Linked DNA regions of Yarrowia lipolytica. The protein of the gene in region 1 purifies or fractionates together with the protein of each later gene. This does not show direct contact. Links are inferred from orthologs where the notes say so. Each region holds a gene or a part of one and is shown in the gene's direction. Other genes may lie near its edges. The genes, in order: YALI1_E14644g, YALI1_D33229g, YALI1_D17899g and YALI1_D35575g.

The links.
Region 2: the proteins of YALI1_E14644g (region 1) and YALI1_D33229g purify together in Saccharomyces cerevisiae (affinity purification with western blotting; 4 studies listed by BioGRID, with this or other methods). This does not show direct contact. The link is inferred for Yarrowia lipolytica from reciprocal best matches to the Saccharomyces cerevisiae genes POL1 and POB3.
Region 3: the proteins of YALI1_E14644g (region 1) and YALI1_D17899g purify together in Saccharomyces cerevisiae (affinity purification with western blotting; 4 studies listed by BioGRID, with this or other methods). This does not show direct contact. The link is inferred for Yarrowia lipolytica from reciprocal best matches to the Saccharomyces cerevisiae genes POL1 and SPT16.
Region 4: the proteins of YALI1_E14644g (region 1) and YALI1_D35575g purify together in Saccharomyces cerevisiae (affinity purification with western blotting; 3 studies listed by BioGRID, with this or other methods). This does not show direct contact. The link is inferred for Yarrowia lipolytica from reciprocal best matches to the Saccharomyces cerevisiae genes POL1 and RRN3.

What each region holds. Positions count from the first base shown.
Region 1 is NC_090774.1:1,461,242-1,469,875, forward strand, and holds YALI1_E14644g (uncharacterized protein), read left to right. Parts: upstream 1-3,159; coding exon 3,160-7,287; downstream 7,288-8,634. Other genes in the region: YALI1_E14619g (uncharacterized protein), read left to right, coding at 634-2,256; YALI1_E14698g (uncharacterized protein), read left to right, coding at 8,560-8,634. UniProt on the Saccharomyces cerevisiae protein: Catalytic component of DNA polymerase alpha, which in complex with DNA primase (DNA polymerase alpha:primase) constitutes a replicative polymerase. POL1 has a role in promoting telomere replication during interaction with CDC13.
Region 2 is NC_090773.1:3,320,326-3,326,450, forward strand, and holds YALI1_D33229g (uncharacterized protein), read left to right. Parts: upstream 1-2,553; coding exon 2,554-4,191; downstream 4,192-6,125. Other genes in the region: YALI1_D33207g (uncharacterized protein), read left to right, coding at 359-1,078; YALI1_D33274g (uncharacterized protein), read right to left, coding at 6,121-6,125. UniProt on the Saccharomyces cerevisiae protein: Component of the FACT complex, a general chromatin factor that acts to reorganize nucleosomes. The FACT complex is involved in multiple processes that require DNA as a template such as mRNA elongation, DNA replication and DNA repair.
Region 3 is NC_090773.1:1,786,912-1,794,547, forward strand, and holds YALI1_D17899g (uncharacterized protein), read left to right. Parts: upstream 1-3,037; coding exon 3,038-6,049; downstream 6,050-7,636. Other genes in the region: YALI1_D17885g (uncharacterized protein), read right to left, coding at 805-1,590; YALI1_D17895g (uncharacterized protein), read left to right, coding at 2,625-2,757, 2,803-2,915; YALI1_D17930g (uncharacterized protein), read left to right, coding at 6,079-7,173. UniProt on the Saccharomyces cerevisiae protein: Component of the FACT complex, a general chromatin factor that acts to reorganize nucleosomes. The FACT complex is involved in multiple processes that require DNA as a template such as mRNA elongation, DNA replication and DNA repair.
Region 4 is NC_090773.1:3,554,117-3,560,764, reverse strand, and holds YALI1_D35575g (uncharacterized protein), read left to right. Parts: upstream 1-3,004; coding exon 3,005-3,217; intron 3,218-3,301; coding exon 3,302-5,038; downstream 5,039-6,648. Other genes in the region: YALI1_D35593g (uncharacterized protein), read right to left, coding at 1-962, 1,388-1,496; YALI1_D35509g (uncharacterized protein), read right to left, coding at 6,041-6,648. UniProt on the Saccharomyces cerevisiae protein: Required for efficient transcription initiation by RNA polymerase I. Interacts with Pol I in the absence of template DNA and stimulates recruitment of Pol I, but does not remain as part of stable preinitiation complex.

The sequences.
Region 1 (8,634 bases):
CCCCTCGTACCCCTCGATTCATCTTCTCATGCAGATGAGACATCATAATTAGTCCGTGTAATTACTCTATGTACTGGTACGATACATTGTCATACTACAAGTGCTACTGGTTACAAGTACTTAGTGTACTCGTACTCGGACCGGTGAATGCCGACATTACGCACGAGCTCCGATCGGATATACAGAAACAACCGAGAACCACAGTGCATACCGCAACTACTTTATGTACAGCCTTGTAGACTATGGTCGGTGTCCGAAAACCGCCTTTTGAAGCCACCATGACAAAGCCACGATGGCAAAGCCACCATAATGCAAGCCACAGAGGGCGGATCAGCCACAGAGGGTGGATCAGCCATAGAGGACTGAGAATCATCAGTGTCAAACGGCAAGTTAAGTCCGTGGCACAACTATCCGACATCTCTTGACTTTGACTTAAATCTCCATGTACTGGTACCAGTCCACATCTGCGCTCTTTCTGCGATGAATATAAAGCGGCGAAGCTGTCTGACAAGTGAACTCTGGTAAACTCTGGGGATTCTATACGACGTGCATCGATGCCGTGTACTTGGCAGAGGCTATATAAGATAAGAGGGGTCTCGGTGGGCTGATTCTGAGTATCGCAATATCACCAGCATGACCTTCCAGGACGCAAAGGACATCTACAACAACCGTCTGCAAAAGTCAATTGAGGAGGTGGACAAGTATTTCCCCGGAAGCCACAAACCCCTGCCCGATACTATCCCTTCCAACGTCAGACCACTGCTCAAGCTGCTCCATGACGAAGACTACGAGGTTGTGACGCTAGGAGGAATCGAACTGCTCGATAAACTGGCCAAGGGCGAATGGTCTGCCGTTCGAGTCACGGGTGCGTACATTCGAGCTGCCGTGTTGGCCCACAAGCTGGTCAACTGCGCGACCGAATTCCTTGCAGAGCGGGCCTACAACCGAGCCAAGTTCCTCGATGAACATCTGGCCCAAAAGGGGCCCGTTGGACCCTTCCACGGCTTGCCTTTCTCCGTCAAAGAGCTGCTGGGCGTCAAGGGACATATCTCCACCTGTGAAAACTCCTTCTTTCTGGACTCGGAGCCCATGGAAAAGGATCTGGTGCTGATCCAGCAGCTGGAGAGCCAGGGGGGTACCATATTTGTGCGAACAAACGGCCCGCAGCTCTGTAATTCTCTCGACAGTTACTCTCCTGTCCACGGTTCCACTCTCAACCCTTATAATACTTCTCTGACCACTGGAGGCTCTTCTTCCGGAGAAGGAGCTCTGGCGGCCTTTGGAGCGAGTATCATTGGTCTGGGAACCGACATTGGAGGCTCCATTCGAGCTCCTTCTTCTTTCTGTGGAATCTACGGTCTCAAGCCCACCAGGGGACGTCTTTCGATGCTCAATTGTGTGGGGTCCAACCCAGGAAACGACTTCATCAAGGCCGTTGTAGGTCCCATGTCTCGAGACCTGCGTCTGATTGATTTGTTCATGGAGAATATCATCAAGCAAAAGCCGTGGAAGGACGATGTTTCCTTGGAGGCTGTGCCTTGGGAGATTGTGTCTTCCATCCAGCCCAAGAAGCTGACTCTGGGATACACCACCTTTGACGGGGTGGCCCATCCTCATCCCCCTATTGTACATGCAATTGAAGAGCTGGTCAAGAAGTACGATGGAAAGACTGTGGACGGAGTGGAAATCACTTTCAAGAAGTACACCCCTGTCATTCCTGAAGATATTATCCACATGCTCATTGGAATGTTCATGCCCGACGCTGGAGAGCGAATCAAAAAGTGGTCCGAGAAGTTTGGAGAGCCCTTGGATGACCCTGGCCCGGAGGTCAAGGCTCTGGCCAAGAAGCTGGAAATTAGCGATGTCTTTGCCCTCAACACCAAGCGAGACAAGTATAGACAGACCGTGTGGGAGGACTGGAAGAAGCAGGGGATCGATGCGGTGATTTATCCGGTATACATTTCGCCCTCGTCTGTGATCCGAACACCCAATTATGGATTGTACACCATGCTGTGGAACGTGGTGGACTACCCGGGAGTGACTCTTCCTCTAACCAAGATGGACGCCAAGAAGGACTACGGTCCTACTCCTGAGCCTGCCAATGACATGGACAAGAAGTTCCTGGGCATGTACGAGCCGGAGAAGTTCGACAATGCTCCCATTGGAGTTCAGATTATCGGCCCTCGGTTTGAGGAGCCTCTGCTGCTCAAGGTGGCTCAGCTTCTCCAGGGCACTGTTCAGCCTTTGGGCGAGTAGGTATTTTGACCACAATTGATGTTATTGAACAGGAACTTTTTTAAAAGTAGTGATTACTGTAGCGACAGGTACATACTGTGATACAGTGACAGGTGGTGTTTGAGAGTCGGCACTGTAGTCAGATCACTATGTACACTACGTAGTAGAACTATCACGACCATGCCAGTACTACCATAAATGTTTTTTTATTTTATTTGATTTTACAGTGATCAATAGATGGTCTTCAAGAGCATGTAAAGCCTGTAATTACAAGTAAACCACCACCAGAGACTGTCACGGCCTAGGAACGGCTCCGTTGGCAACAAGCAAAGTTCACACGACGTAGGAGGTGAGCAATCACCTCTTCGACACGGTTTCAGGTAGGGGCTTCAAAATGAGAAGAAAAAAACTGAGAGCGAAAAAAGAATCAATATCATCCCAAATCCCACAACAATGCCACCCCGCCCACGGCACATGGCACGGTACAGCACCCACCAGCACTTCTACACAGTACAGTGTGTGCATTTGGATGCGATGTGTCTCCTACCACGCGTATTAGACTTTTTCAAAAACAATTTGCAGCTTAATTTGCAACCTGGTCATGCACCTTTTCGAGAGGGGGCCAAAAAGAAGTAAGCCCAATATGCGACGGCGGCAACTCTGTGGAATAATGAAAATTCAAACACAAGTATGTTTGCTGATTTCTAAGCCGTTTGTGTCTTTGTCTTCTCAATTGCTCACCTTGTTCACCCTTTATCAAAGGGCTCAGTCTCCGACTGCACCCCCAACCCCGAACTCTAACACGCGTCGGGGCTGGTAACGCGTTTTTTCACCTTGATGCGTCTCAATTAGGCTCTTTTGGGTTATCAAATTGAGACCCGTCTTTTACTCTTAACACATTACACACTAGACACATTACACAGCATGTCGCGACGAAACGCTCTGGCGGCCCTCAAGGCGGCTCGAGCCGGTGAGAAGCGAGAACTCACCTTCAACGCCGAAGACGTGTACGACGAGCTCGACGAAACCGAGTTCAAGCAGCACCGAAAACAAGAGCTGCTCCAGGACGACTTTGTGGTGGGAGATAACGGAGAGGGGTACGCAGACACGGGCGCGTACGAGTGGGAGGATACGGGCAAGCGGTACGGCTCCAGCGACGAGGACGGCTCGCCCAAGAGCAAGCGGGCCAAGAAAAACAGCGACGTGATCAAGAACCGCAAGCTCAACTTCAAGGCGCTGGCGTCCAAGCCTGTCAAGACGGAGACGGCGGCGTCAGCAGTGGCAGACGACTTCATGGACGACTTGATTGGCGTGATTGGCGGCTCCGGGCCCAAAAGCGCCGACAAGAAGAAACCCATGAACCGCAAGTCGCGATCCGCCCGGGCCAAGGAGGAGGAAGACGTGTTTGTGGACATGGACTACAGCTACGACATGGCCAGTCCGGAGCACGTTTCGTCTTCTCCCCCCGCGGAGATTGTGCATGCTGTCAGAGAAGAGGCCATTGCTGACGGCATGGATTTTGCTGATGACATGGACATTGATATGGGCGAGCCCGACATTCCTGACAAAGTGCCTCAATCGGAGTCAGACGACGATGAGGACGAGGTTGTGGTTCGACCCAAGGCCGGCCAGGCTGCAGCTGCAGTCAACATGCGCGGCCAGAAGCCGGTGGTTGCAGTCAAGAAGGAGATTGTCAAGACGGAGCCAGTCAAGAAGGAGCTGGTAAAGGAGGACATCGAAGAGCCCGAACTGGTTCCCGATATCACCAGTAACATCCAGCTTGCGACTTCAAAGGCTGGATCTGCTGATACTGCCAAGATCTCTGTGGAGCCCAACGAGGTGACCACCGAGGACGGCAAGTTCAAGTTCTTCTGGATGGAACACGCCATTGTGCGAGACACACTCTATCTGTTTGGAAAGACCATGGTGCTGACCGGCAAGAACAAGGGCCAGTTTGTATCGTGTCTCATCAAGGTTGCAAGCACCCAACGACAGATGTTTGTGCTGCCCAAAAACGAGTATAGCACTTCTGACGTGCACGAGGAGCTCGATGGAATTATGGAGGCCCGAGGTATTCGAATGCGAGCCAAGCCTGTCACTAAAAAGTACTGTTTCCATCTGCCTGGTGTCCCTGCCGAGGCCGAGTACCTGGAGGTGCTGTACTCCCCTCCCAAGGAGAAGTTCGACGTTCCTTCTTCTGGAGCTACCTTCTCCCACGTGTTTGGAGCCAATCAGTCGCTGTTTGAGCAGTTTGTGCTCTCTCATCAGGTCATGGGTCCATGCTGGATGCAGATTGATGAGCCTGACTTCGCCTCGGCTGGTCAGGGACGTATTTCGCACACTGGAATCGAGATCACCGCTAAGTCGTCGGCCAAGATTTCTGTCTGTTCCAACCAGGAAGCTCCCATGCCTCCAATTTCGATGATCTCTCTGGCTGTGCGAACCATGACCGAGGGCAAGTCTCAGTCTGTGGTTGCCGTGACTCTCCGAATGTTCCAGGACATGCCTCACGATACCACATCCAAGCTCGGCGAGCTGCAGCACCGATCTATGACCTTCTTCCGGTACCCCAGTAAGGTTGCACCTGTTGGCTTCAAGCAGATTCTGCAGGAACACAATGCTGGCACTGCTGTGGACAAGATCATTCCATGCAATTCTGAACTGGACATTTTGAGCCATATGGTGCGGCTTATTGCGCGTGTTGACCCCGATCTCATCTGCGGCCATCGTCTGGAAGCTCTGCATCTGGATGTTCTGCTGCACCGACTCAAGGAACTCAATGTCAAGGACTGGTCTTCCATGGGCCGACTTCGACGAACACAATGGCCCCACATGAACTACGGAGTTCTTGACGGCCGGCTTATTCTCGATATGGACAACTCTTACGGTCGGTCTGTGGTGCAAGGATGTCAGTCGTTTGATCTGACTGAAATGTCGCTCAACACTCTGGGCATCAAGCGGATGGACATTGAGCTAGATGCTGCTCATAGCAAGATGGTCAGCTCTGCCCGGCCTTTGCTTAGCTATCTCATGCACTGCATCCAGGACACGGGCCTTGTTGCCGGCATTGTGATCCAGACCCAGGCCATTCCTCTGTCCAAGCAGCTCACCAACCTGGCCGGAAACGCCTGGAACAAGACTCTGGCTGGTACCCGATCTGGCCGAAACGAGTCCATTCTCTTGCACGAGTTCACTCGTCAGGGCTACATTATTCCCGACAAGGAAGCCGGTCGAGGCACCAACAAGCGAGGCAAGGCCAAATTCCAGGGAGGTCTGGTTCTGGACCCCGTTAAGGGCCTGTACGACCGCCACGTGCTCGTCATGGACTTCAACTCACTGTACCCTTCCATTATTCAGGAGTACAACATTTGCTTCTCGACTGTGGACTGGGCGTCTATCCCCGACGACCAGATTGAGCCTCCTGCTCAGCCCGAACCCTCCGTGGAGCAGGGCATTCTCCCTCGACTCATTAGGACTCTTGTGCAGCGAAGACGGGAGGTCAAGCGACTCATCAAGGACCCCAAGGCGTCTGCTGCCCAGAAGAAGCAGTGGGACGTGAAGCAGATGGCGCTCAAGCTGACTGCCAACTCCATGTACGGTTGTCTGGGTTTTGAGGGCTCTCGTTTCTACGCCAAGCCTCTGGCCAACCTCACCACCTCCATCGGTCGAGACACTCTTCGAGCCACCAAGGAGCTTGCCGAGGCCGAGTCCCTGCAGGTTGTCTACGGTGACACTGATTCTGTCATGATCAACACCAACACAGACACCTACAAGGACGCCATCAAGGTTGGTAACGACTTCAAGAAGAAGGTCAACGGTCTTTACAAGCAGCTTGAGATTGATATCGACGGTGTTTTTGCTCGTCTTCTGCTCACCAACAAGAAGAAGTACGCTGCTCGTCTGGCTACTGAGGAGGGCATGGGCAAGATTGAGGTCAAGGGTCTGGATCTGAGACGACGAGAGACGTGCCAGATTTCCAAGGACGCTTGTACCTATGTGTTGGAGCAAGTTCTGGGTCCCGACGACCAGGAGACTGCGCTGAACAATGTCCACGAATACCTTTTTGAGCTGGCTGAGAAGCTACGATCTGGGCCCGTCAAGGACGAGTCAGCTCCTTTCCCCGTGGAGCACTATGCGATTCTCAAGCAGCTCGGAAAGGACCCTAAGGCCTACAACCCTCCCATCCAGCCCTTTGTGGCTGTGGCTCTTCGACGTTTGGAGCGAGGAGAGGTGATTCGAGAGGGCGACGTTATGTCGTTTGTCATCACCACTGTGGGCTCCGACGAGTCTGCCAAGGCCCAGACCACTATGGATGTCAAGCTTTCTCGAGGCAAGCTTCAGCCGGATGCCGAGTACTACATTTCCAAACAGCTGTACCCTCAGATCGAGCGACTCCTCGCTCATGTGACCGGTACTGATCCTGTCCGACTTGGAGAGGTGCTTGGCATCGAGATCAAGAAGGCCCACCAGTCTCACGAGTCCCGAGAGCTGCTCCATCCGCTGGAGTCTACCATCTCCGATGCTGAGCGGTTCAAGGATGCGGTTAAGCTGGAGCTGACTTGTGAGTGTGGCCACTCTTTTGCCTACGAGGGAGTCAAGCAGAACACCACCGAGCACGGTATTATCTGTCCCTCTTGCTCCACAATGTTCCCTCTCACACGGCTGTGTGCCCAGTTGGAGACATCAATTCGACGACACATTTCCAAGTACTACGAGACTTGGTACACGTGTTCAGATTCCGCCTGTGGTATTCGAACCGCCCAGCTGACCAACTTTGGAAAGCGATGCATGGGTTCCGATGGCCGCTTCAACACTTGCAATCGGGGCACTCTGGACTATGAGTACAACGATCAGGACCTGTACCGACAACTGTTGTACTTCGACACTCTGTTCAACATGGACAAAGCAGCTCAGGAAAATGATAAGGATATGAAGCTGGCTGTTCTGGCTGGTCAGAACCGGGAGCGGTTCGTGTACCCTCGCCAGGTGGTGGACAAGTATCTCAAGGACTCTGGACGAGCCTTTGTGGATATGGCTGCAATTTTCGGTTAATGTGGAGGAGATATTTATGTATACTAATGGACTTATTGATTATGACTGTTGTATTGTAGTTTGGTATGAATAATTGTGCGTGTACTAGTACTTGTAGAGGTATTTGTCTGGGTTCATGGGGTATTGGCTAATGCAGTACAGCACGAGCACGAGTACAACAAATTATCATACCGTACTCGCTTGTACTTGTACGTACCGTGCAGGATTGTCCTAGCTAATTAGGTAGACTTCACAACGAAGTATCGTAACTATGAACACACAGAATTAGTTGACATACAACCAAAGTGGTGCTTTTTACAGCCAAATGTGCTCTATTACCAATAAAATCAGAAGCGGGATATTTTTGGTTTCCATTACAATACAGACTCTCCCATTGACCCAGTCTACGGTCATCCTCCCTCACGTTTTCAGCTGGTCACCAGTTAAAGTTCGGAGGTTTGTGTGGTCCCAACCTATCGTGCCCTAACCCCGAGTTGGGAGGGCCAATCACCGTGGGTCAATATCTGCACATACTACTGGAATTTCTGAACAGTGATCAAGCACGGAACGACAAAAGAGTGAGTATTGAGAAGGATGAAAGCGTTACGGGAAACGAAGTGGATGTGGTGCTAAGATGAAGCGACGATACACGACATGATGTAACGGGAAGAAACGACTCGTGATCGATACATGACGGCGGAGGAGTTATGTTGTCATGGAGCATCACGAACCATGGGAGATGGGTCGGAACGGCAAAGACGAAGTGAATGGTGGATTGTGGAAGGTGTTAATGATCGATTATCGGTTGGTGTCAGAGTGCCCAAGTTGTTTAAACACAACATTTGTTTTACTGATCAATGTGAGAATGCAAGGGAAAGACTACAATAACTACGGAGACATGCAACTTTGGCATAATTGATGGGCTGTTGTTGTTTTTGATTGTTGTTGCATATGGAGAGAGCTATTTCTTGCTGTTTATCACTGTAGCTCATTCGTTTCTCCACTTGTCTTGCTCACTTCTCCGAAACACCTGATTCATGTGCATCAGACACCTTTCATGACCTGTTCTAGATGTGCGTATACAAACAGTTCACATGTCTTTGATACATATGCTCACCTTCTCACCCTCCAATGGGTCCTGCTTGTAGGGTTGTTCGTGATCTTTAACTACTTATCCATTTTCATACTAACCCAGTGTCTGAACACGTTCACCTTCCCTCGCCGACATTCAACACCAGCTCTGCTGGCCACTTTCACCCCTACAACACCCTGGGACTGGCCACCCAGAGCGCCATGGTTGGTCTTGGTGCTGGTGTCGTTGCCGCCGCCGCGCGAAACAGTTTAGCCACAGGCCCCCGAAACATCCTG
Region 2 (6,125 bases), on another chromosome or scaffold:
ATATTGTACTATCTACTGCTTCCAAAAGTACCGGCACTCACCTTCTATCTCCTTAAATCACCTCTACAACCACCTCAAATCTCCACGTAAACCAACATCCCAATGTCAACTAAATCCCTCCCCTTCGGTTGACAATTCTGTTAGCTTCATACTTCAGCACGCCACCCGAGGACAGCTTCATCTAACTCCACGCTCAGACCTCCTAAAGGGCCAATTCTTGGACTGTGTCATTATCTACGTTCCCCAAACCCATCTACCAACTCTTCCTTCCTTTTATCCCCATCATCATGCCATCTAGTCCATTCAAATACCCACCCATCTTCCACTTGTCCTACCCTAACCCTAATCCCTCACCTTAATGCCCAACACATCACCACTTACTTTATCTCACCACTACACTACCATGTCCGATACAATTGAGGCCGATGTGCCATTAACAGGAGGCCGAGCGCCGTCACATGCGGCGCCTCCGGTTGCGGCGGCAACCGTACAGCCGGATTTGGAGCGGAATGCGGCGCCCCAAGCTGGAGTTGGAATGACGCTCTGGCAACGTCTGTCCGAATCTTCTCATCCGGTGGCTCTCGTCTTTTTTCTAGCCTTCCGACTAGGAGCGCTCTTCACCTACATGTTTGGTCTGCTGTTTACAGACAAGTTTGTGCTCATGTTTGTGTTGGTTGTTCTGCTTCTGGCAGCCGACTTTTGGAACGTCAAAAACATTGCCGGACGGCTCATGGTGGGCCTGAGATGGTGGAACGAGGCGTCGGAGACGGGCGAGTCCGTGTGGGTGTTCGAGACGGCCGATCCCCAGCGGTACATAAATCCCATTGACTCCAAGGTCTTTTGGATGATGCTGTATGGCGCCCCTGTCTTGTGGGTGTGTTTGGCGGTTCTGGCGCTGCTCAAGTTCCAGTTTCTGTCTCTGATTCTGGTCTTTATTGCTGTGTCTCTGACCGTCACTAACGCCATGGCCTACTCTCGATGTGACAAGTTTGGCAAGGCCAATAACATTGTTGGCCAGGTCAGCGGCGGTCTCTTGTCTAGAGCTGCCAGAGGTACCTTCCTTGGGCGGTTCATGTAACTGATGCGGGTTTCCGCGGTGAATTCCACCCGCCACTGTCAAAGATATATATATTAATGAATTACGACTGGAAACGAATGCTCAGAGGCTTTGGCACTCAAAAAAAACAATAAATTCCTATATACAATGCGATTTTGGAAGGTACCGCTGCTATAGTGACAAGCTCCCGGTCTGTTACTCATCCTTCCGGAGGTCGTTAGCAACAGCCTGGTTGATCTTCTGATGCTCCTTGAGCACCAGAGCCTGGGCCTCCCGCTCAATGTCGCCCTGCTCGTTGAAATAGTCGGTGATCTTCATACCGCCGTAGGCCAAGATGCCAGTAAAAGCCGCAGCGATGATTCGTTGCGATGGGGGGATCTGCATCCACCGCTGGTAGAGGGACACTGCGTTAGTACGGAAATGAGCACTGAGGGGTGGAATACTGGAGGACTGTTCCAGATTTGGTCCGGTTACGCTTCGTTAACGACGGAATGGCCCATTCTGCCAGCTCCAGCTATATGGTCCTTTCCAGTTTCCCGTCAGTCTAGTAGAATCAGGTCCATCTCGACTATGGAGCTTTGGACAGACCGGAGCAGTTCAGAATAGTGAGGCAGCCAGCAGAAGAGGAACAGCAGAAGAGGAACATCAGGATCAAACTGAGTCTGAATTCTGCCCACGAGATACGTGGCTCAAGTTAAGTTCTGTCTGTTCTGTCTGTTCTGTCTGTTCTGATGCCCTACCACGGTACAGCCATGTCAGAGTCGATTAATCGGCCCAGATGTGCAAGTGGAAAGCAACTGTTGATAATGCACACGTACTCAACTTAGAGATGTACACATACTCATTCACACTTACTCAGTCACACGTCATCAGTCGTATTCAGTCTGTCTTTTCATCTTGACTTCAGTTCACTCTCTCTCAATACACAGAGATACCGTTCCTTCTGCGTGACTTCTATATCACATCTCCTCGTCTTCTCCCCTTCTCCCCTCCTTTCCCCTTCTCCCCTCCTCTCCCCTCCTCGCCTTGTCACACTCACTGTTTGCGTCGCTAGTTTGCGTCTGGTGAACCAATTGACGCTTCCACTTCCCTGCTTCACTTGGGGAGGTTGGGATATTCAGGGTTAGGGTTTTTCATTAAGTGCATATTTAGTACATAACTAGCAAGGAGTGTAGATGGAAGTAACAATAATGAGGACCCAGTGTAGAATGGCTTGGGGCGGAGATATCGTCAAAATGATACTTTCACGTGACTCCCTAACGCCTATTACCCCTCAATCCGCCTCCAAACTTGGAATTTGGTGGACCCTCGGGGCTACAGCGATACCCCGCTTCTCTTGTCCTCTCCCCCATCCTCCTCCCTCCTCTTCTTAGGTCACGTGACCACGCGTTTAACTTTCTGGCAGAGTCCAAATCACCATACATACATTACCGGCACGTCGAAGCGCCATCGTCATCGTTCACACATTTACAGCACAGTACGCAAAAAAAAACACGATGTCTACGACTGAATTCGACGGCATCTATCTCAATCAGAGCAAGGCGCACGGCCGTCTGCGGATGGTTGAGACGGGCCTGGGCTGGAAGGCAGTGCAGAAGACGTCAATGGGCGGATCGAAGGAGACCAAGAAGGACGAGCCGTTTCTACTTGGAAAGGAGGAGCTGCTGGCGGCGTTTTGGAGTCGGGGCTCTCGGGGATTCGAGATGAAGATCCAGACGAAAAACCGCGGGGCCGCCAACTTTGACGGGTTTGAACAGGACAACCTGGAGGAGCTGAAGAACGTGATGAAGCGCAACTATGGCATTTCAGTGGAGCAGCGCGAGCACAGCGTCAAGGGTTGGAACTGGGGCAAGACGGACTTTGAGCGATCCGAGCTGGTTTTTTCCGTCGCCAACAAGCCCGCATTCGAGATCCCCTACGCCGAAGTGGCCAACTCCAACCTGGTGGGCAAAAATGAGGTTGCTCTGGAGTTCCAGCAGCCCGCCGATGGACGGGCAGGCGACGAGCTCGTCGAAATGCGATTCTACGTGCCCGGAGTAACTTCTGTGGAAGGTGATGAGAACCCCAAGAAGAAGCAGAAGACGGAGAAGAAGGAGGGAGAAGAAGGCAAGGAAGGAGACGACGACGCCGACGCCGACGACGAATCAGAAGAGGAGGTCCAGTCCACCGCCCAGATCTTCTACGACACCCTCAAGGAAAAGGCCGACATTGGAGCCGTGGCAGGTACGGCTGTGGTGTCTTTGTCGGAGATCTACCTGGTCATCCCCCGAGGACGATACGATATCGACATGTACGCCAACTTCATGCGACTTCGAGGAAAAACATACGATTACATGGTGCAGTACAAGCACGTGCAGCGGCTCATTGTGCTGCCCAAGCCCGACGATCTGCACAACATTCTCGTGGTGCAGCTGGATCCTCCTCTCAGACAGGGCCAGACTCGGTACCCGTTTCTGGTGATGCAATTCCTGCGTGAGGCCGAAATCAAAGTCGAGCTCAATGTCGACGACGCCGAGTTTGCCGAAAAGTACGCCGACAAGGGTCTCAAGCAGTCGTACGACGAGTCTGCTCACCAGGTGGTTGGATCTATTTTCCGCGGTCTCACTGGCCGAAAACTGACCGTGCCAGGCTCGTTCAAGACCGTGCATGGCCATGCTGGTGTCTCCTGTTCGCTCAAGGCGTCTGAGGGCCATCTATACCCCCTGGAACGAAATTTCCTGTTTCTTTCCAAGCCCGTTTTCATTCCCTTTGCCGAGATTCAAGATATCACTCTGTCTCGAGTGGGTTCTTCGGTAACCACCTCTCGAACGTTTGACATGACTCTCAAGCTGCGAAACGCCCAGGGTGAGTACCAGTTCTCCAACATCTCCAAGGAAGAGCAGGAGGGTCTCGAGGCGTTCATCAAGTCCAAGGGCATTCGTCTTAAGAATGATCTTGCTGAGGAGAAGGCGCTGCTGGCTGCCACTCTGGCTGAGGTGGACGATGACTCTGATGATGGAGGAGAGTTTCGAGGCTCGGCTGATGAGGATGACGAGAGTCCTGATGAGGACTTTCATGCCGAGAGTGATAGTGAGGTGGCGGAGGAGTTTGACTCGAATGCCGAGAGCAGTTCGGGAGAGGAGGATGACGAGTGATTCCGGCGCGGCTTCGCGCGTCGCGGGAAATTGCTTGTTGGGTAACAATAGCAGCTCCGGACGAAGCAAACTCGTATCTGATTCGAGACAGATTCAAGAGTGCAAAAGTCTCACAAGGAATTTGCTACTGGTAGATATATGAATTAATGTTGATTAGGTGGATGTATTTGAATGGGACACATTCAGTTGGTAAGAATGTATTATCTGAGCTGCTCTGGAGTCTTGAGTGACAGATATTTTGTTTGAATTGGACCATTGTTAGTGTACTGTGCATTTCTGGAGCTCTGAAGTAACTATTACTTGAGGCCCACTCCAAAGTCAACAAAATCAGCACTCGTATTTCGCGTTGAAATGTGGATATCTCAAATATCTGTACTGCCAATATCTTGAAGATGAATATTAGTTGATTAGTTGATGCTTTTAAACCAATTCACACAAGTCTTGCGATTTCATTGGTCCCGTGACACCGAGAAGTGACCCACAGCGGGAATTCCTTTCAACAAATGTCAACAAAATCTGTTAACAAATCCGTCAGCCAAACAGAGTCCACACATCTATCGTCTGAGAGACCTCTCACGACACTGAAACACATCACCAGACCCTGTATCTCGGGAGGCGAACACCCTGAAATCGGAAACAGTGGAATCTCGGGTACTTCCAGCTATTTAGAATGCTCAGAGTTGCACATTGAGTAACTGCCCTGTGATGGCACGCACGGGGAGGTCTGTCGGAACTGTATAGGACATTGAAGTTCTTGTACTAGTAAATGTCGATTTATGAAGAATCAATCGTCTTGATGTGTCACGTGACCAGTCTATCTGAGCCTTTGGATAAATTTCTGTCCCTGGAATGTTCTCTGAGGTCTAGAGTATATGTCCTCAATTTAGACGGGGTAATACGCATTGTTAAGAAGAGACCGAAACGGGTCAGAATGCGATCCAATGGTTAGAGAAAGCGCAAATAATGATCGTTTTTCATTTCTGACGATTAAGTGGTTACTCGTGGGATTTTTGGAGTGCTTTGAAGAACAATTATCATGACGTCACCATCAATAATCATGCTCGTATTCGTATTCGTACTCGTATTCGTATTCGTATAGTTGTACCTCTAATATGCACAATTATATTCCATCGGCTTTGCGAGTGGCGCCTCAGTAGTTACAAGTACTTGTGAGCAGTACTTTGACCTTGGAAATCGTTGGCTCGTGACCATAGCACGTCTGATTACCTAATCAAGTCCAATCAATCTGGTGTCTAGTATACAGTAGATGCAAGTGTCATGACGTTCCCCAGATACAAAGTTCCCTTCTTCTGTGTCAGGCAGGTGGAACTCTGGCAGCGATTTGTCCGGTTGAGTATAGACGCGGTGGTACAGTGGAACTACTGAATAGAACCGTTGGTTGGAGTCCTTAATAAATGCTCCGCAAGTCCCATAGCTACACTTGAAGTTACGCAATAGCAGAAGAAATTGTAGTTGTATAACAAGCTACAAAGAGGTGTAGATAGATTCGGTTTATAACACTTTTCGATACAGTTTTCATTCCACTTGATCATGTCTGGCTTCAGCTCTGTCGTCGTACACTATGGTTCCTTTCTGGGGTGGTTTTAACCGAGGACTTTAGGAGCTCTAGATCTGAGGGACATGATCTGATTGGTAGAGTGATTCATGTGATGTTAATTCATGTTTCCCGTTTGATCTTTCTCCTCCGTGATCATTTTCGACTTTCGAGACTAGGACGCATTGTTAGTGCCCACTGGTAGTCACTGATTATGCTGCTTGTGGTTCCTGGAAGTGACTTAGTAAATATCTTCTATAAGAAGAATGACATTCGCTTACCAATCAGCAGTTTCCCAGTTTCCTACGTACCAATGCCATGCCAGTGTGTAAAGGTGACTAGTACAGCACCCTGAGAGCAGCGGAAGGTCGGAATCACT
Region 3 (7,636 bases), on another chromosome or scaffold:
ATCGAAGCGAACCGCACATCTCCAGTAGTCCTTCACCAACGTCACCTACACCGTCGCCAACATCCACTACATTTACCCCTCTCTACCCCTACCTTCCCAAACGGGAGCTGTCGCGTGAAGCTTGCCCATCACGCAGCGATTAGGTGAAGATAGACGGGACAATGAACGAGAACATGGAGACAGTGGACGGCGCGAAAAAGAACGAAAGAAGAGACACTTACGTAACCAGCTGTGGAGTTTTACGTGATCACCTCCTACTCCGACCCATCCCTCCCTTTCTCCCTTACATTTACTCCTATCAGTGCACTCACTGAGACACTCCAACAACTTTGGAATTTTTTCTTTTTTCTTTATATTGTATAATATATATATATATATATTTTTTTTCACTCTCTTGTTTTTTTTTCGCTCTCTTTTTTTTGCCCGCTGCTTATTCTATAGCCTTCAGACTTTTACCAGGTAGCAAACTGAAACAAAGTGGCACCTAAAACGGACAGCTGGGTCGTCTCCCGTGTCCCACGCGATAACACCTCGATAGGGTGGAATGTAAACAGAATCTCAGTGCAAGATTCCAGTATGGTACTCGTACGACTGCAGTATTATTAGCACTACGGGGGTCTACATCAGTACATCTACAGTCCCACCTACCTTGGGACACCACGACACTACGCTCGGAGCGGTGATAAGTGTGTCTCGTGTGTCTAGCACTATGATCATACAATACGTATCTAACACCCGTCACAAGCGGTTATAGGCCGTCGCGGTAGCTGGCGCCTTCGCTCATATCCTCATGTCCCCCTCTCTCTAACAGCACGAGCTGCTCTTCTTGTCCGAATCTCCAGGCTGGGGAGTCAGAGAAATGGTGGTGCCCTGCTGGGGCTTTCGGGAGTCCTCCAGGTTGGCGTGGACATTCTCGGCAGCAGAGACCCGGTGGTAGATTTCAGTGAGAATGTTTCGGAACGCCAGGGCAACGTCAGTGCCGTCCAGGGCTGAGGTCTCGATGAACAGCAGCTTGTTCTGGGAAGCAAACTGCTTGGCCTCCTCGGTGGGCACGGCCCGAAGGTGCTTAAGATCGCACTTGTTGCCGACCAGCATCAGCACAATGTTGGAGTCGGCGTGATCCTGCAGCTCCTGAAGCCACCTGCTGATGTTCTTGTACGACTGGGTCGAGGTCACGTCATAGAGCAGCAGCGCTCCCACGGCGCCTCGGTAGTAGGCCGAGGTGATGGCTCGGTATCGCTCCTGGCCGGCCGTGTCCCAGATCTGCGCCTTGATGATCTTGTTATCAATGTTGACGGTCCGGGTGGCAAACTCCACTCCGATAGTCGATTTGCTGTCCAGGTTGAACTCGTCTCGTGTGAACCGGCCGAGAATGTTGGTCTTTCCGACGCCGGAATCACCAATCATTACCACTGAGTTAATATGCGACCAAGTCGAATCACGGACCCTCTGCATTGCTTCGCGTCTTTTGTCTGACTTGCTGGCTCCGTCGTGTCTGCGTGTTTGTGTCTCCACCAGTCGTGTCGTGTCCACGGTGTCCGTCGCGTGTGCATGTGGGCAACCAGACGTCCCCCGGAGCTCCCTCTTCATCTGCCACCTCCTAGCCTTTCTCTAGCGCACTCACCCTTGAAAAGAAAATCGTACTCGTCACTCATGATGGTCTGTGTTGTGTGTGTTGGGTGTGATGTAATGTCTAATGTGTGGTGGTGACTTTCTAAGTTGCATCCTAATGGGTGGTCGTGTCATGTGGGAGAAGACAGACAGGGAGACCGACAGAGACCGGGTCTGGCGCGCCCAAGTCCAGAAACCCAGTAGACTAGACTTTTAAGGGTGGAACAGGTCTCTTATATAAGTTGCGGCCCACCACTCGCCCCATGTCGTGACACTCCCTCATCTCGTCTATATAAACGTCTGCCCTCCTTCCTAATTTTTTCCCGCTCTCTCAATCTCCCACCCTTTGTTACAACTCCACACGCCGTACATTTCAGCATGGCGTTTTTCAAGCATGGTCCCAGCTATCAAGTACAAGTACGCACAACTCAGCCCCGTTGTTACAGACAGATACATGTACAAGTAGTGCCCCGCAATGAGACTGACGTGACAGAGACCGTGTACAGAGACGACAACCTCCCGGAAAAAACTCAAACACACGTTGGCATTGGCCGCTGACTAATCACAAAATACCGCATCTCGACCTGGAGACGAAAAGTTAATTCATCTGGCCGTACAAGTTTTGGGCTGCCTGTACGTACTGGCGAAATTTGTATGTAAACAGGTCGGAATGTGTGTTGAGTTGGATTTGACGAGCCCTTGTTGCATCGCCAGCTTTTCTTCACGGCCCTCTAGCACAAACTATCTGTCGTTTTGCAGGTACCATGTTGAGTTGCTACTAGTTGAGATGAGGAGTCTGACATCTCCTTTTTCTTGTTTTTTCTTGTTTTCTTCTTTTCGGGCACCAAAAGATTCCTTTCGTCCAACGTGTCTACACCCAATTTGACACCAAATGGTGCGATCCGACGCGCAACTTGCAGTTATAGAGACTATGGAGTTCTTTTTTGGTCACGTGACAGAGTATCTCGTCCTCACCGCTCTTTGACTTCTTTAGTCTTGGGCTTGACCTGAGAATGCTTACACCTACAACTCACGCAATAACGAGTGGAATTGAAATCGGAAAGCTCCATCTTGTTGACCGTGACCGGTACAATAGCTCTATCTACTTGGTTTATTTTCAACGACAGGGTGTAGCCCGTTTGGAGTGTCCTTCAAAACGGTGCCCCTTCGTTCCGCACTGAACCGCGCAAGTCACCAGGGGGTTTATTCCAAGCGTTGTACAGGTAACTGGAGTTGGGCAATGCTTCAATAAACATGACAGAAAACCAACATCCGTCTATATAACCACCTCCCCGCGCTCTTAATGGCTACATCTTCTTTTCTCGTCGCAACACACGTTCGCCTACCACTACCCTAACCCCAGCATTAGCGTTATGAATCAAACTCACCACCATCACCGTGTATTCATTATACACGACATTGCACCATGGAGGTCAAAATCTCTGAATCTGCGTTCAACACACGCGTAGAAAAGCTGCAGGGGGCGCTGAACACGCACAAAGACGCGTTTGGCGGCGCCGACTCGGTTCTGCTGCTAATTGGCAAAGGTGGAGATGACAATCCCTACATCAAGACTGCCGTGGCCCAAAACTGGCTGCTGGGCTACGAGTTTTTCTCCACAGCTCTGCTGGTGACGCCCAAGCGGGTCATTTTCGTCACAAACTCGTCCAAGGCCGTCCATCTAGAGGGTCTCAAGAAGGACGACAAGGTGGAGGTGTGGGTGCGGCCCAAGGAGGGAGGTAAGGAGGTGATGGAGAAGCTGGCCAAGGTGGCCAAGGAGGCCGGCAACAAGCTTGGCGTCGTGGTCAAGGACAAGTTCCGAGGCCCCATTGTCGACGAGTTTGAAGCTGCCCTCAAGGACAGTGGGATCGAAAAGGTCGACATTGAGGTCGGGCTGTCCCACCTGCTGGAAGCCAAGGATGACGACGAAATCAAGAGCATCCGGGTGGCGTCGCGGGCCTCCACGGCCTACCTGACAAAGTTCTTCACCGACCAGATGCTTGGTATCGTCGACGAGGAGCGGCGGCTGTCGCACTCAAAGTTCTCGGAGCAGATTGAAAACAAGCTGCAGGACGAGGGCTTCTTTGCGCAGAACCAGGTCAAGCTGGGCAGCGACTTCCACCAGACCAACCTCGAGTGGTGCTACATGCCAATCATTCAATCCGGAGGCAAGTACGATCTGCGGCCCTCGGCTGTGTCTGACGACGCAAACCTCCACGGAGGCACGATTGTGTGTACCCTGGGTACCCGATACAAGGGCTATTGCTCTAACGTGGGTCGAACCTTTATGATCAACCCCACCAAGGCCCAGGAGCAGAACTACGAAGTGCTGGTGGGCCTGCGGGAAAAGGTGTTTGACTCCATCAAGGTCGGCGCCAAGGCCTGCGACGTCTACAACGCCGCCGTCTCCTACATCAAGTCCAAGGCCCCCAAGCTCGAGGCTCACCTGCTAAAAACCATAGGCTGGAGCATTGGCATTGACTTCCGAGACGCCAAGTTCCTGCTAAACGCCAAGTGCCAGCGAGAGATTGTCGACGGCTCCACGTTTGACGTGTCGCTGGGCTTCCAGAACCTGACCAACTCGGCCGCCACCGATCCCAAGAACAAGACATACTCGCTTGCTCTGGTCGACACTGTGCGTGTCACTCGAGCAGGCGTGGCTGTTCTGACCGATTCCGCGCCCGTGGCTCTGTCGGAAGTCACCTACTTCTTTGAGGATGACGACGAGGACGCCGAGAAGGAAAAGAAGAAGAAGGAGCAGGCCAAAAAAGAGAAAAAACAGCAACAGGCGGCTGCTACCGTGTCGTCCATCACCCGGACCAAGCTGCGTCATGAGGCTCGAGCCGAAGATAACAATGACCAGAAACGAAAGGACGACCAGAAAGCCCTGCACGAAAAGCTCAACAAGGCCGGCCTGGAACGGTTCAAGAACACAGAAGGTGCTCTTAACGGCGAGGAGAAGGTGGTCATCAAGAAGTTTGAGTCGTACAAGCGAGATACTCAGCTGCCCCAGAATCTGCTCAAGGATCTGCGGGTCCACGTGGACACCCGGTCGCAGTCCATCATTCTGCCCATCAACGGCCGGCCCGTGCCCTTCCACATCAACACGTACAAGTCTGGCTCGAAAACTGACGAGGGCGACTACGTGTACATCCGGCTCAACTTGTCGTCTCCGGGCCAGATTGCAGGCTCCAAGAAGGACGCGCCCCAGGTGTTTGAGGACCCTGACGCACAGTTCCTGCGGTCCATCACGTTCCGGTCGCGGCACGTGGAGCACATGAACGATGTTTTCAAGCAGATCCAGGACCTCAAGAAGGCATCGACCAAAAAGGAGGCCGAGAAGAAGGAGATGGAGGACGTGGTGGCCCAGGATTCGCTGGTGGAGGTGCGAGCTCGACGGCCGCTCAAGCTGGACGCTGTGTTTGTGCGTCCTGCACCGGACGGAAAGCGAGTTGCAGGCACTCTGGAGATCCACCAGAACGGTCTCCGATACGTCTCGCCCATCCGGTCCGACCACAAGATTGACGTGCTGTTTGACAACATTAAGCATCTATTTTTCCAGCCTACCGAGGGCGAGCTCATTGTGTGCATTCATGCGCATCTTAAAAACCCCATCCTGATCGGCAAAAAGAAGACGTGGGACGTGCAGTTTTATCGAGAGGCCAGCGACATGGCTTTTGACGAAACTGGAAACCGGAAGCGAAAGTACCGGTACGGAGATGAGGACGAGCTGGAGGCCGAGCAGGAGGAACGAAGACGACGGCTGCAGCTCGACAAGGAGTTCAAGGCCTTCTCTGAGAAGATTTCCGAGGCGTCTGACCGAAAGGTCGATGTCGATACTCCCTTCCGAGAGCTGGGATTCCACGGTGTTCCGTTCCGCTCCAACGTTCTGCTCCAGCCCTCTGCCGACTGTCTGGTCCAGCTCATTGATACGCCCTTTTCGGTCATTACTCTGGGCGAAATCGAGCTGGCGCATCTTGAGCGAGTCCAGTTTGGTCTCAAGAACTTCGATCTGGTGTTTGTCTATAAGGACTTCAACCGGCCCGTTACACACATCAACTCGATTCCGGTGGACCAGCTGGATGCCGTCAAGGACTGGCTCAACGAGGTTGAGATTCCGTACTCTGAGGGTCCCGTCAACCTTAACTGGGGATCCATTATGAAGACCGTTGTTGCCGACCCCCAGGAGTTTTTTACTTCCGGTGGATGGTCTTTCCTGGACCTGGAGTCGGACGACGAGGATCAAGAGGAGGAGGAGTCCGAGTTTGAGGTGTCTGACGACGAGCCCGAGGACGAGGATGAGGACTCGGAGGAGTTTGCCTCTGAAGACGATTCCGAGGGCGATTTTGACTCTGAGGAGGAGAGTGGCGAGGACTGGGATGAGTTGGAGAAGCAGGCAGCTGCTGAAGATGGTGAGCCTCCCCGAAAGAAGCGCTAAGCTGGGGGAATCTATGTATGTAATAATTGATGTATGATATGGTAGCTACTTGTACTATGGCGAAGGTTGGCGACTGTGGACTACTCGATGAGACATTCTGCGCTAATCTGATACTAAATTCGACTCTCAACATCTCAATTGCTGACACACTGACACAGGCAACTATCGCCATGTCTCGATGGTACTTTACTGAATTGAGGCAGGCGGTGCGCAATCTTTGGACGCCCCAGCCACACTACACCGAGTCGGAATACCCCGACCTCACCAGTAAGACTTTTGTCATTACGGGGGGACATTCGGGTGTGGGTCTGGCCGCCACCCAGCTGCTGATAGACAAGGGAGCCAAGGTGGTTCTTGTGGGCCGCAGCCGGGAGCAGGCCAAGCACGTGCTCGACGAGCTTCCCGAGGGCACCTACGACTTTGCCGAGGCTGATCTCGCCGACCTGTCCACCATCAGATCTGCCGGTGACTACATTGTCAACCAGTACCCTGAGATCCACGGCGTCATTCTCAACGCTGGAATCGCCTTCAAGCCGTACTCTCTGACGCCCCAGGGACACGAGTACCAGTGGGGGACCAACGTTGTGGGACATCACGCGCTGATGAAATGTCTGGACCCGGCGGTCATCAAAACTGCCCACAGCTCTGCCCCGGGCTCGGTGCGAATTGTGTGGGTGTCGTCGTCAGCGGTGATCATTTCCAACGTTCCAGGCGGCATCAACTTCGACGACATGAGCTACAAGGAGAGCCAGCCCAGTGCGTTGCAGCTGTATTCGCAATCCAAGATCGGAAACGCCTACCAGGCGTATCTGTGGTCCAAGAACCACCCCGATTCAGGCGTGGTGTCGGTCTCTGTGGACCCAGGCAACCTCAAGTCCAACATTGGAAGACATACCCCCAAAACCATGACCAGGGCTTTTGAGTATCTCCTGTACCCTTCCAAGTATGGAGCATACACGGAGCTGGCAGCATTGTTGGCCCCTGGAGTTGAAGATGGCGACCATCTCATTCCGTGGGGGCTCAAGGGACATTTGCGAAACGATGTGGATGAAGGCAGAAGAGGTGACAAGGGCGAAGAGCTGTGGAAGATATTGGAGGAAAATGTTAAACAAGTGGGTATGTAAGAAGTGAATTATTGTCAGTTGAGAAGATGCTTCTGGATAGCAGGTCTTCGCCGCTGCGCCCAACTCAGCAGAGACTCCTACCGGAAATACCGGGCCAAAGATCGGTAAAAAAGAAAGAGGACGACAGGACTCGAACCCGCAGCCTTTGGAGGACGTCGTTTGCACGAAACAAACCGAAATCCAATGCGCTACCATTACGCCACGTCCTCGGATGTGGTGATTCGGGGAGTGAAGTTTGTATTTGAGCACCAAAAAAAACGAAAAAAAACGAAAAAAAACCAAGAAAAAACAACAAATGTCAAACAAAGTTAATTAGGTCTAATTAGGTCTAACTATCGGTAATCTGACTATTCTGTCTGTGCTACTCTCGTAGCGATAACATGAGTTTTCAGCTCAAGTTTCTGATTAGTCTCCTTCGGTTAATTTAAACTATCGTATTTATCATCCCGCTGCAGGAACATAA
Region 4 (6,648 bases), on another chromosome or scaffold:
GGGCTGAGGGGAGTGGGCCAGAGACTCGGGCGAGCTCATATGCTCGTGATGGTGGCTGTCTCCAGCGCTCTGAATCACAAGGTTACCCTCCTCGTCTTCAACCAGGATGTGGGACAGGTCTCTGTCTTCTCCCAGTTCCTCAGCGAGGATTTTCTTGACCAGCTCCTCTGATCGACTCACGTCCTCGTGGTCGTACTTGTAACCAGTCATATCCAGAATAATGTCTCCGTTGTCGGAGATTTTACTCTGAATGTTTTCTGATGTGAGTTTCTTGGACAGTGCACGGGCCTTCTCCCAAATCTCCTCGGACGAAGGGGCGGGAGAAGTGGCAGCCCGGTGGAGACTCTGCTCAAGATCCAGAGGCTCTGTGGGCTCTGTGGGCTCTGTGGGCTCTGTAGGCTCTGTGAGCTCTGTGGGTTCTGTCTCTGTGGGTCCAGAAGTGTCTGTTCGATCAGTATCGCTGTTGGAAAACGAGGCCGAAGAGATGCCTTCCGAGATAGTGGCTGGGTGTTTCAACGAACCAGGAACAGGCTCTGGAGCTGCCGTGCTCGCACGTTGTCTTCTGTTCACCTCAGGGTCATTCTCATCATCGAAGCTGCCCATCTCATGTAAGTGATCCGCCGAAGGTGATCTGAATGGTGGGCCCTCCGAGGGCGATCTGCCGTGCTTGCTGTCGCCACCCTGTTTAGAGTCGTTCAGAGCAAGGTAGTCCGGCTCACCATCCCCGCCTTCCTCCTGGCCCCAGGATGGCGACGAAGAGGGAGAAATGACGGGGGATGTCAGGAGCTCTTCGGGCACGTCTGCGTCGGTCTCGAACACAAAGAAGACTTCTCCTCCATCGCCCACCTTCATGGGCAGCTCGGTCTTGGTGCCATTGACACAGAACTCGACCTTTTTCTGGGACGGTCGCAGCAGGGAAAAGATTCCAAACCGCACATGGAAAGGAGAGCAGTTTAGTTCACCTGGGTTAGTGTGTGGATATGGTGGTTATGGGGATGAGGTGTTACGCCACCACGTTGTGTTCATGTGTTGAGTGTTTCGAGTGAGTGGGAAGTAGTTGACAGGAAACCCGAAACAAGCTGGTTGCTCCAGTTGTATTGGCCTCTTACAACTTTGTCCATATGACATAACAACTGTGAATCATACTGTTGCCACCTGGGCACGATTACAGTCATGGTGTACAACATGTGGTCACATCATACGGACCATGATAGTTACAAGAGTGGTGTAACTGCCAGCTAGAAGTAACAACTGTAAGGCCACTTGCACCCACTCTCTGTTCCCAAAGTCCACTTCTCTATCACCCTCTCAACTTGCATCCTGTAAGTCACCGTCGGTCACTGCATCAGCTCCACTTCTCCAACAGCCTCTTGATGGCCATACTCACCGTCTTCCCGCTCGACCACAATGATGTCAATTGCACCACTGAGTGTTGCAGGGTTGATGGAGTTCCAGGTCTTGGAAACGGTTCCAATGGCTCGCCCAACGTACTGCATCGTGTGGTTGTGTGGTGATGATCTGTTGGGCACCTTCACAGAGTTCGGTATACATACAGATATGCAGCAAGTACAAGGAGGGGTTTGCTGTTCCAATCGATGTGATCACGTGGGGAGTGGATGAAAAGTGCCGACTAGCACACAGAAATACAGCCTGAAAAGCAAACAAACATGGCTGGAATCATGGTTCAAAATCACCAGCCCTGGGCCCAACAATTATACAAAATTCATCACCGTTACTTGGCCTAAATGGGGCGGCCTGTGTGTGTGGAACCTTGTCTCCGAGGCTCGGGAAAACGACTCAAGCGAAAATACGAGGGGGGGTGCACAACTGAGGTGAGAGTGAGGCCACAACAGCTTCTCATGCCAGATGTAGATGTAATATTGGGCAAATAACCGAATTTTTTAGTCATCGGAGATGTGCAAGGGTAGATTATGTCACTAACAGCTCTCCAATCACAGTTCTACCTCGGCTTGTTTTTGGCACCTTAGTAGTTCGATGTTCAAGTATAGCCGGCTGGGCCTAAATGCTCTTGGCCACAGTGGGTAGTGCGTGTAACAACACAAATACATACATAATATGGGCGCAGTACGTACTTGTACGTACCATGCCGATAGAGACTATTTCACATCATAAAGACTGTTTTTGGACATGTAATGTGGATGTCTTGCAAGCCTCTCTGTCTATCTGAAACTTGCTTGCTGTCTCCTGCCCAAGACCGTCAATAACCAGACACCACCACCCCTGCAAATGTAAGCTTCCCCACCTTGTAGGGCTAGGGTCTGCTGGCACTTAACGGTCCGGATTTGGGTTCGATGATGTAAGCTGAAGAGCACGAAGGGGGCGATGAAGAGTTCACCCAGAACTTTGTACTGAGACGGTGGCGAACTCAGAAATCCAGACTTGTTTACGTAACCAACACTGAAACGACCCATGTGTATAAACTATCCTATTAGCTTATTTCGGACTACTCCTTCTGCGGGCGGTCCTCAGTCAGACATTTACTGGCCATTTCTGCAAGTACGACACATCGCATGTCCCAAATCGGAATATCCTAAACTCAAAACCCGTTACTAAGCAACCTCTCAATTACCTGCTCCAACTCCAAGGTCCTCCCTCGTGCATGTCTCAGGACTGTGGCAAAAAAATTCCTCGAAAAGTTAAGCTTCGAGGTCATTTTTGTTGCACGTGAGGGCCATAAAGGACCCGCAATCTACGAAAATATAGAGATAGAGAGGAGTTTTTGTGGGATAAATTCAATGAAAATAATATATTGACAATACTGAACACTTTGTCACCCCTCTCTGGCCGTCACAACGCCTGTGCATCATTTTATGGAATTCTGCCCACCTTGCATAATCAGAATTAGGCTTTGAAAAGTTTGTGCGTACAGTAGCTAACCTTTGGAGGCTCTGATAATTCTCACCACTCAGTCCATCTCAAGCTCATCTCAACGCTTTCTACCGTTTCGCTACAGAAGAACAAAAAGAAGAGATACACAGAAACGATGGAAAGTCCAGTAGCATTGGAGTCGAGAGGGCTCTCGTTGAAGAGAAAGAGGGTGGATTCGCCCCAAGTGATGGCTTTAAAGAAACCAAGGGATGAGGGAGGAGTGCTTCCTCAGGATGATGGCAAACTGACTACTTGTCCAGAAACAGGTGACCTATCTGCAGGCGTTTACAAGGCGTTCGTTAAGAATGCCCTAGATGAAGTTGAAAAGGTGAGTTATGCTGTCTTTCCCATTTATACATCCCCCCTTACGAACCGTCGTCTTCGCCTCTCATGTTCTCTTTTTCTAACCTAGCAAAACTACAGCCCACTCGGCAAGTTGACCGACCAGATTACTAAAAAGGCCGACTCGCCCGACGCGCTGTCCAACGACCAGCTCACACACATGATCCAGGCGCTGTCCATTGAAATCAGCCGGCTGGACTCCCCACGATGCTCCAAGCTCATCAACGGCGTGGTGCGTCTACATCTCGAAAAACGACAGCCGTCCCAGGCGCTTACAGACACATACTACCGGTTTCTCGCAGTGCTCGTCTCCGCCGTGCCACGATGGTGGTCCGACGTTGCGACTCAACTGGTGGCCGACTTCACTCTAGACGATGCCTCTGCCCAGCATTCAGCACTGCGATACATGATCAGCATTACACCCACGTCAGCTACTCTGCTGCAAGGAATGCTGCTCGATGCCTTCCCCAATAAAATGGATACCACCGCGCGACTGTGCAACTTCATTCGGAACGCCCTCATCACCACCGAGTACTGTCCTGCGCTAAGAAATGCAGTGTGGGGCATGGTTGTGGAAAAGAGTGTGCAGATTGACGTGGAACTGCAAGACGAACTGGACGAGATGGATGAAGAAGAGCTGTTTGACGCTGGTCTTCTCGACGCTGAGGACCCCGAAGTGGTAGATCTTGATGACGCCACTGATATCAAAGAGGGAGAAGAAGACGGTAACGACGGACTGGCTCTGGGAGACTCAGATGATGAACTCGACGATGACGATGACGATCATATCGAAGTCAACGATGCCTCGTCTGTCGGAGAGCTCCTGGCCAAGCTCGACGGAATCGTGTCTCTTCTTCTCATGCATGTTGGAGGAAAGTTCAACGATGGCCCCGAGGAAATCACCACGGAAACAGTGTCCATGTATGCATCTCTCATCAACGTGTTCAAGACGTATCTTCTGCCTACGCACAGAACCCGTTTTGTGCAATACATTGTCTTCCAGGCGTCGCAAGCATGTCCTGAGTTCATGGACGCCTTTCTTGCTTCTCTCATCGAGATCACTCTGTCGTCTGGAGAAGGCATGGACAAGCGGTCCAAGGCCATGCAATACATTGCATCTTACATTGCACGGGCTAAACATCTCTCCAAGGCCCAGATTGTATTTGTGGTGAGCATGCTGACCGGCTGGATCGACAGATATGTGTCTGAACGAGAAGCCGAAGTCAACGGCGTGCCTGGCTCCATGGAGCGATTCAAGACATTTTACTCTGTCGTCCAAGGTCTCATGTACATCTTTTGTTTCAGAAACGAGATGCTGCGACTGGACTCTGATGCTCCCGAGGGCGACTCAGTTTGGGAGTGCAAGCTCGACAAGTTCTTCCAGCGAATCATCATGACCAAGTTCAACCCTCTGCAATACTGCAACCATTCCGTGGTCGCCATGTTCGCCAAGATTGCCCATCACCACGATGCAGCCTACTGCTTTACTATCATCGACGAGAACAAGCGAGGCATCGTGCGAAAGGATCTGCATGATAAGAAGGATAAGACCATGGCCCCCCGTGCCTTCATGGAGGGAGCTGCCACTCTGTTTGATGGTCCCCAGAAGGAGTTTACTCAACTCGAGGGCTACTTCCCCTTCGATCCTCTTCTTCTCAAACGGTCCAGAAGTGTTCTCGGAGACCTCTACATTGAATGGAGTGAAGTTGCTGAGGACCTTGACTCGGACAGTGAAGATGGAGACGAGAGTGACGGAGGAGACCATGAAGATGACATGGAGGAGGACGTGGAGGATGATGACGAGTAAAGTGCCGATAACCAACCCAATGCATCTCAGCAAGATGTTCACCTGCATCACTCTACATCTTGCTAACATTATAGACGGTCCACACCAGGTCCACTTTTTTTAAACTAAGCTGCTATCCAAGCAGAATACATTGATGTTATAACGATAGTATGTACAGTAGTTCGCGAGTATGAGTAGTAGCACAAGATAAGGGTGAAGTATCGTACAAAACAGCACAGCAGAACATAGCATCAACAAGTCATCATCGAACTTCCCGCCATAAACAAAACAACAGAGCGCAGCGCAAACGACACCACCTGTTATACTCCACTTTAGTCCTCCACTCATAAATCTCAACGCATGCGATACTCTACCTGTGTCATATCCACAGCATATCCGAACATGGGCGTTCTGCCATCTTCTCAAATCGTAAGTCATTAGTCTATAATCTGGGGTATGCATGGTGGCTGGTGTGCTCAGATAAGATGTCAATAACAGAAGACGCACACCATCCATGAAGCTGCCCCCACACAGTTCGTGTCGTTATTTCTCGCTGTTCTTCGTTGTAAGTCGCCTTCATCCCTTCTCTATCTCCGCTGAAACTTCTTGAGCACAATCTTTCGTCCTCCAAGACCCAAACCTCCCATGGGTGGCGCGTAGGTAAGGAAGTTGCCGATCCAGAAGAGCTTCTGTGCAAGACTGGTGCCGCGGGGATCGGCCGGACCGAAAACGGTCCGTAAAAAATGCAATAGAGTGATCCAGTCGTTAGTCGTGAGTGTCGGTAGCATGATGTAGAGTCTAGGCACAGGTATGTACAAGTACGCACTGTACCTTGGTTGTAGCACTATCCAGTGATCGGAACCTTAACTGAATATGTTTAGTTGATATGTGAAACCTCTTCTCGTACTTGTACAGAGACCTGGGACTTGACATTATAAACAACACCAATATCTTGCAATACCTTTTTTCTCTAATATTAATGCAATTATCCTAAATTTTACTTTATCCCCCAGTAACCTCTCGTTACTTTCTCTCCTTTATCAACTTCATCAATGCAACCTCCTCCTGAGACGGTTCACTGACGTGCTCCTCCTTCCACCGTCTCTTGAACTGTTCAGCCTCCTCTTCGTACCGCTTGGCCTGGATTCTGTATTCCTCCGTCTTCTTAGCGTTGAGAGCCTTGATTTCGTTCGTCTGGTCAATGTATGGCTGCTTCTCCGAGTCGGGCAGATCTCGCCACATTTTACCCAGAGCAGAACGAACCTCGTTACGAGCAGCTCGCATAGTAGGCTCACCAGAAGATTCTTGTTTCTTCTTATCGCAGATGGCTCGACACTTGTCCCAAAAGTCCTTCTGGAAAATGAGGAAGGGGTTCGCACCAGCTCTCTCGGGCTTAATGGGCCGCTCGCCAATCTCAGCAACCATCTCGTCTCTCATAATCTCATTGGATTTGGACACACGCTCGTCACGTAGCTCCTTGAGCCGCGTCTGGTTAGTGTCTTGCTCCACAGCCTTCTTCTTGACGTCCACGGGTGGCGAAGGCTCCGCTGGACGTTTCTTCTTGGCCATCACGGGCTGAGGCAGATGAACAGCAGGTGCATGTGGAGCCATGGACTCCTCCTCAACAAGCA